2 linked regions of the Mus musculus genome follow. The protein of the gene in region 2 purifies or fractionates together with the protein of the main gene of each other region. This does not show direct contact. Links are inferred from orthologs where the notes say so. Each region holds a gene or a part of one and is shown on either strand. Other genes may lie near its edges.

Region 1 (3,815 bases), on a different chromosome or scaffold from region 2:
ACACACACACACAAAATGTTCCCAACATTCCTACCAATGCGGAAGTCTGAAGTAATCCTCCTCATTTCATTCATCAAATCCGTTCCAAGACTTTTCACATTCTCCAGATCATCTTTCATAGAGTAGGAGAGATCCATAAGGTAGTAGAGATCAATAGGGTAATCTTCAGCCCTCTTGAATTTTAATGTAAACTTCTGTGGTTCTCCTAATTAACAAGATTCAAAACTGAAATTAGATGGCCAGTAATCAAAATAAAATGAGAAAAAAAGTAAGTCCAATTTACATGTTCAATGATATAGTCTTAAGTGTATATTTTTTCCAAATCTAAGAATTTTGTTAGCGCCTCAACAGGCACACTTGATTTCGTTTAACCAACCATTTACAACTCCAAGACCTAAGGAGGCAAAAATGATGAAGGCAATGCCCTCTCCAGCAACCCACAAAATACAAATAATTCTGCTACAGTTTGGATCTGCCCATGTGTTGGTACTTTCAGGAGGCAGTGGGAAGTTTGAGAGGTAAGGACTAGCAGGAGGTTTGGGTTACCAGTGATGTGCCCTGGAGTCTATGGGACCTCCTTTCTGTCTTATCTCCCAGATGCCCCACCATGACATCTCACATCACCACAAGCTCAGAGCAACAGGCCACTCCGTCAGATGAAAACTTCTAAAACTATGGCCCAAAATAAGCTTTTCTTTTTACATGTATTTCAAGTAGTTGTTACTGTAACCACAAGGTGATTTACACAAAAACTTATGAGAAAATCAGAACACCATGAGTTTTGGCAGAATGAAAGGTACATTCTAGACAGGTAGAGATTAAAGTTAAGAGTGAAATGTTCTCTGTGTAAAGGCACTGCTACACAAAGGTGAGTAACGATCTAGTTTTACTTTAGAGTTGTAAAAGGAAGTTACAGAGGTGAAGCCATAATTACAAAAAGATCAAGAAAAAAAGATGAAGCCTAAACTGAAAAATGAGGAAGGCGAGAGAGGTAAAAGTTGTTACATGTTACTTACTTAAAAAGCACAGAGCTGGAAGGCAGCTTAGTGGTAGAGCATTTGCCCAGCACATGAGAGATCCTAAATTCTATCTCCAGTACCACAAAATAAAACACAAACATGGGAGAAAATGGAAGGTCTGCTTAGATGAAAAACGATCTTTTTTCCCTGACTTCCTGGCAGGCAGCTGGAGAACAGGTACAGAGCTAAACGGAAAAGCTTATGTCATTGCTGAATGATGATTTCCAATGATGATGAGAGGAAAACCAAGTCTTACCTAAATTTGCAGAAGGATGAAAGGAAGAAAACACAAAAAGGAAATTGGAAGCAATGGAAGGAACTGAGAAAAACCAGCAGTGACATGGACTCCTAAGTTTAAGAAGAGAGCCTCTTACAAGCTCCCCACAGTAGGAGTAACGACGAGGGGCTAGAGATGACTTAGAAGTTAAGAGCACTTGCTGCTTTTACGAGGACCCAGGTTCAACTCCTAACATATGTCAGCTCATAACCATACTTCAGTTCCAAGGGATCTGATAACTTCTGACCTCTGCAGGCACCAGGTACATACACGGTGCACATATGCATGTATTCATACAGGCAAAATGTGCATATAAAAAATAAGTAAACCTAAAAAATGTTTTTAAGTAATGATGATTAAAATAAAATGTGACTTAGGCAAATACATAATCAATGTCCTGATCAGGATCCTGCAGGTCAAAGAATGATAGTAGTATTCCACTACAGTATATGTACAAGAAGTCTGTACTAAGTACTTTTCCTGACATTGCAACTTAGGAGAAAGAAGATTTATTTTTGGCTCAGTTTCAAGAAGGTCACAGAAGTTAGAGCAGGACCAAGAGGGAACAGCACTCTATGTCTTGGCAACTCAGGAAACTAAAGCCCACCCCCAGAGACACACACTCTGCCAGTCAAGCCTCAGCAACTGAAGGCTCCACAGACTCCCAAAACAGCACTACAAGCCAAGAACAAAAGTCGGCATGCAGGAACCTAAGTGGGACATTTCACATTCAAACTATAACAATGTCTATTTCCTAGGCTGAAGTTTAGCCAGGCAGCAGTAACAGGATGGAAGGATGACAGGCAGAAAGAGGGCATGTTGTCTATTTCAGAGGTGGGATGGCCATGAGCACTTATAAAATCGTTAGTATTTAAATGGTACTAAACGATGTATGGATTAAAACTTAGCTTTTCACTGACTGCTCTTCCAGAGGTCCAGAGTTCAATTCCCAGCAACCACATGGTGGCTCAAACCATCTGTAATGGGATCCAATGCCCTCTTCTGGTACGTCTGAAGTCAGCTACAGTGTACTCATATACATTAAATAAATAAGTAAAACTTTGCTTTTATATTATGAAATTATACTAACAGATGGATGCTCTACCACTAAGCTGCCTTCCAGCTCTGTGCTTTTTAAGTAAATAACATGTAACAACTTTTACCTCTCTCGCCTTCCTCATTTTTCAGTTTAGGCTTCATCTTTTTTTCCTTGATCTTTTTGTAATTATGACTTCACCTCTGTAACTTCCTTTTACAACTCTAAAGTAAAACTAGATCGTTACTCACCTTTGTGTAGCAGTGCCTTTACACAGAGAACATTTCACTCTTAACTTTAATCTCTATCATTAAATTATTAAAAGTAATATGTCTTACAAAAATTGTGGCCAGGAATCAAAAGTGTGGCATACACCTTTAATCCCAGCATCTGGGAAGAGGAGACAAGCAGATCTCTGAGACTGAAGCCAACCTGGTCTACCGAGCAAGTTCCAGGACAGCAAAAAGCAACAAAAAGAGGTTATGTCCTCTAAAATTTAACTTATGCCCTATTTGGGGTACCAGTTCACCCAAATGAACCATCAAAAGACTGGGAAAAGGCTTGTATAAACTTGCTATGGAAAACTCAGGTAGGGATAGAGGTACCTGATCTCAATTTTAGAAGCAGCTGTTGTGGTTGGATCTGAGTAATGTCTTCTGGCCGGAGCTTCTCTGCCATCCCTTTGCTGCGATTGGTGACATTTTTATTTTTCTTTATAGTTTGAGAGCCTCTGGGATTCTCTATGTCACTTGGCTGGCAACCCTTCTTTTTCAAAGCTTCTAAATCATCACATCGTGCAGAAGTAGGCATTCCTTCTTGCAAAAATGTCTAAATGAAATATAAAATACATCAACAAAAAAAGTATAGCAAGTATTTTGATGTTTTTTACTGCATGTAAACAAATTACAAAAATCAAATGACTTAATCTAAGGTAGTTCGTTTCTAGCTTCTTAACAAAAATCCACAACGTGGTATGTGTGTGCTCTTACACAAAAACAAGTAAAACCAACTGAAAAAGTCCTATCTTTCCCCAGGCTTTATGCATATTTTAGAAGCCTCACCTTTCAAATTCAGAGTATGTCAATACTAACTACATCCTTCAGTGTTTGGCATACTTAGCAGCACCTAATTATGGATAAGCCCACACATTAGACAATATTATTTTCTCTTAGAAAAGTCCTTTGAAGGACTTCCCAGCAAAGCATTTTAAACAACTAGGCGTTTAAGAAAACCACATTAGCCTAAATACATCCCAATTAATAGTGTGTGTGTGTGTGTGTGTGTGTGTAAAGCATAGCATAAACTTTCCTGAATAAAAACTTTTTTGAGACAAGGTTTCTATGTGTAGTCCTGAAACTCTATATAGACCAGGCTATCCTCAAACTCAGACATCTGCCTGTTTCTGTCTTTCCAGTGCTGAGATTAAATGCATGTGCCATCACTGACGAGCTAAAAATCTTTTAAATGCTTGCTACTAAATCTT
Region 2 (4,310 bases):
GGCAGTGGTGGTTTATTGCTGCCCGACTCTAAACTAACATCCCCAAGTACCAGTGTAGGGGCAGCAGATCACATTTTCCCCCCAGAATTCATGGCTTCTCTGCTTTTTGCTTAACCTCTTCCTGCCTGTCCATCTGTGCCACCCGCACGCTAACTGTTCTGCAAGCCTTTGGTATTGCTGACTGGCTTGCTGGAGTCTCTCTCACCACGTCCTTTGTGTCTTCTAGTTCTTCGGGTTCCTCTTGGTGATATTCGCCATTGAGATAGCCGCCGCCGTCTGGGGCTATACCCACAAGGATGAGGTAGGTGTTTCCATAAGTACACTTGGGTCCTACAGTGATTTGAGTTTCTGAGCTGGGAAGACGGAGAACAAAGGGTCCAGGCTAGTCACTTGCTGGGTTTTCCACTGATCACACCTCCTTATCCAGTATGTTTCCATGTAAAAGCAAGACAAACAGTCCTTGGGAGTGGGAACGTGGAGCTTAGCCTGCCCTGTGTGGCTAGCACCATAGTTACCATTCAGAACGTTTTTGGAAACCGTTTGTGTGTGTGCCTGTCTGTGGGCCTGACAATCACAGCTAGACAGCCCTTCCCCACTGCTCCTAGAAAGGTTGCTCAGAACAACATGGCTTTCTGTAATCAGCAAAGACTCGCTTTCTCTAATCTGTAAATACATACAAGTACCACACCAGACACTATGCAAGGTCCATCCCCAAGTATCCAGGTTCCGGGTCTCACACTTTGAGGAACTTTGCCATCTAGTGTGGAAGAAGGATGTTAGACAAATGTCACACAAGTCATTTATAACCAAAAATACGTTGAGATTTAAAGAAGGTGAGGGTGGGCCAGAGCGTCTCTTCCAGTTTATAAGGAAGTAAGTGTGGATCTAGACCTTGAATGAGATAGGGCGTCTGGAGGGGGAGAGGGGGGCAGGAGTGGGGAACTTCTGGGCCAAGGAAGGGTGCTGACCATGTGAGTTTGAGTTTCTCTGGTGAACTCTTTAAGGAGTTGTAGGCCAGGCTGGAACACAGTGCAACATTTAAAAAAGCAGGGGGGCTGGAGAGATGGCTCAGTGGTTAAGAACACTGATTGCTCTTCCAAAGATCCTGAGTTCAAATCCCAGCAACCACATGGTGGCTCACAACCATCTGTAATGAGATCTGACGCCCTCTTCTGGTGTGTCTGAAGACAGCTACAGTGTACTTACATATAATAAATAAATCTTTAAAAAAAAAAAAAAAAAGCAGGGCCGCTTATATTCTTCAGTGGGAGAAGAAGGAAAGGAATTGATGTGGGATCTACATTTTCAAAAAACTACCCAACTGATAAGAGAATTTACGAAGGGATAGAGGCTGGGGATTCCCAGTGTCACTCCATCACCTCAAAAGAAACTTAGCCAGGCAAGATGGCAGACTCCTGTAACCTGGGCACTTTGGAGGTCGAAGCAGGAACAGTGGTGAGACAGATGGTACTGGTGGCAGTTAGCCAAGCGCTTGAAGGGTATCCGTGAAGCAGTTTTTGAGAAACCCATCTCTGCTCCTGATTTGTCTGTCCCTCATAGGTGATTAAAGAACTCCAGGAGTTTTACAAGGACACCTACCAAAAGTTACGGAGCAAGGATGAACCCCAGCGGGAAACACTCAAAGCCATCCATATGGCGGTAGGTCACCTCTGTACAGAAATCACTCGCCCCTCCAGTACATCCCCGCGGGGTATCCGCGATCATACCTCTTTTAACTATCTCTTTGTTTTTCTCATCCTCATCCCTGCCTTCTCTCTAAAGTTGGACTGCTGTGGCATAGCTGGTCCTTTGGAGCAGTTTATCTCGGACACCTGCCCCAAGAAACAGCTTTTGGAAAGTTTCCAGGTTAAGGTAAACTGAGAAGCAACCCTCTGGCATGCTGCCCTGCCGCTTAGACAAATCCCTGCAAGGGCTTGGGTGAATTTAGCAACATTCTTCCCAGGCGGTGAGAAACAAAGGCCAGATCAGAGACAGAACAAAATCCCCTAGCTCCTGCAGCTACAGACACCTGGGGCCGTGCACACTGCCCAAGTCCCAAGCCTTAAAGAGCAAGCAGATCCCAATCCCGTGGAGGGTATGTCTGCTCCTACGGCTTTAGAAACAGTTCCCGGTCAGTCCGTTCTCCTTCATCCAGAAGGAGAATTATAAAGTGACTCTCTACAGCCACATGGGACTGGACCCAGAGGGGCCTCTTTGAGTGGCAGAATGCTTGCCTGGTGGATGAGGCACCAGGTTCCAGCCCCAGAACTGCCAAAAAGAGAAAAAAAGGGTGGTTGTGGGGCTGCTATCACAAGTTGACTCGGTGGTGAGAGCCCTTGCTCTTCCAGAGGACCCAGCATCGCATCTGCGAATCACCTGTAACTGCAGTCCCAGGGGATCGAATGCCCTCTTCTGAGCTCCACAGACACCAGGCACAGATGTGCTCATACACACATGCAGACAACACTCAGTGTAAAAGTATATAGAAAGAAAAAGAGAGACCTGAAACCTCCCGCTTCTCTGTTCTCAAGTTTAGGGTACCCCCTATATCTCTCAGTTCCCCCTCTGGCCGTGAGGCCTCCCAGAATGATACAGGAATCAGCAAATCACCAAAGAAGAGGTGCACAGCTAACGTGAGAACTGTTGCTTACTGTGTGTCTCGTTTGCCTCCCTAAGCCCTGCCCTGAAGCCATCAGTGAGGTCTTCAACAACAAGTTCCACATCATTGGAGCAGTGGGTATCGGCATCGCCGTGGTGATGGTAAGTGCCGGGTAGTCCGGGGAAGAAAGCCATGCCTGGGCACTGTTAGAAGTGCTGTAGCGTCAGAAGCAACCCTGGCTATCCTGGGCAGGTGGATACCGTCAGTATTTCTTTCTTACTATTAGGAAGTGGGAGCTCTTGGGCTGTGGCTCAGAGGCAGGGCACTTAGCTGGAATGGGCAAGGCCCTGGGTTTCAGTCCCAGCCCAGCAAAGAAAAGAGGATGGAGAGAGTCCTAATTTGCATGCTGTGTTGGAAACACTGAAGTTAAGACTTAAAGCTGCATTTTTAGGGTCTCACCCTGAATATTCTCTAAGGAAATATCTCGGCAGCTGACTGCCGGAATCCGAGTCCCTGCCATCCTTCCTGTTATCTGGCCTTCATATCTCCTACACCAGTATCCTTCCTAGACCTTGCTGTTGCCTTGGGCATTTGTCTTGGCCTGGGTGATGGTCCTTCCCCTCAGGTCAGGCAGACCACGCCCCCTTCCTGTCTTTACAGATCTTCGGCATGATCTTCAGCATGATCCTGTGCTGCGCCATCCGCAGGAGCCGAGAAATGGTCTAGAGTCTGCCCAACCCCGAGCAGGAACAACGGCCCTGAAGACTGTCCGGGCCATTTGGGTTTTTTTTGCCACTAATATTAGTATTCATTATGCATTTCTAAATAACAGTCATTCTGTTTGTCTTTTTAATGCTTTATTCATTATTGACATTTGTAGTTGAGGGATCCGGGGGTTCAATTTATTTTGATTTTTTTTTTTGGTTGTTTATTTTTGCTTGTTATGTTAAGCAAAAATCCTGCAATGAAAGGTACTATATTTGCCAGACTCTAGACATAAGATATTGTACATAAAGAGAATTTTTTTTGCCTTTAAATAGATAAAAGTATCTATCAGATAAAAATCAGGTTGTAAGTTATATTGAAGACAATTTGATACATAATAAAAGATTATAACAGTGTCTCGGGCTGATTGCTGGTATTGCTTTCTAAATTAGTTTTTAGAACTGCTTGGGTCAAAGGTATTTTTCAGGTTTTTTTTTTTTTTTTAAATCTGTTATCCTGTCTAGCCAGGCATCATTCTCTCTGTAGATCAGGCTGCCCTCAAGTTCCAGGCAGCCTTCCAATCTCCCAAGTGCTGATATCACCCCTGTGCACCAGCCCGCCCACCTCTTTCAGCTGTCTTGTGTTCTTTGGGCAGTAGATGAGAAGTAGACTGGAAGGTAAGTCTCCTCATCTACTAGTAAGGGACCCGAGGCGTGATAGATTGGGAAATTCTGATGACCTACCCGAGGTCACAGTTTTAGTCCACACTAGGATGAGTCCCCAGCTCAGCAGTGTGTGGTGTCTTGGGCTCTGCTGAGTCTTTGCTATACTCATCGTTGTACCTCTAGCACCAAGACCTTGGTAACCAGGCATAGCCAGTGCTCAGTATGGCTCTCCATGAAGAGTCCTTGGTTGAACAGCTGGGTATCATGAAGAGTCCTTGGTTGAACAGCTGGGTATATATCCATCGGGATTTAATGAAGGAGACGGAACCACTCTAAGATAC

The links.
Region 1: the proteins of Cd9 (region 2) and Itgb1 purify together in Homo sapiens (co-immunoprecipitation; 5 studies listed by BioGRID and IntAct, with this or other methods). This does not show direct contact. The link is inferred for Mus musculus from reciprocal best matches to the Homo sapiens genes CD9 and ITGB1.

Annotation. Positions count from the first base shown.
Region 1 is NC_000074.6:128,709,598-128,713,412, reverse strand, and holds part of Itgb1 (integrin beta-1 precursor), read right to left. Parts: intron 3,161-3,815; coding exon 2,938-3,160; intron 206-2,937; coding exon 35-205; intron 1-34.
Region 2 is NC_000072.6:125,459,676-125,463,985, reverse strand, and holds the end of Cd9 (CD9 antigen), read left to right. Parts: intron 1-226; coding exon 227-301; intron 302-1,560; coding exon 1,561-1,659; intron 1,660-1,782; coding exon 1,783-1,872; intron 1,873-2,676; coding exon 2,677-2,760; intron 2,761-3,259; coding exon 3,260-3,325; 3' UTR 3,326-3,720; downstream 3,721-4,310. UniProt on the Homo sapiens protein: Integral membrane protein associated with integrins, which regulates different processes, such as sperm-egg fusion, platelet activation and aggregation, and cell adhesion.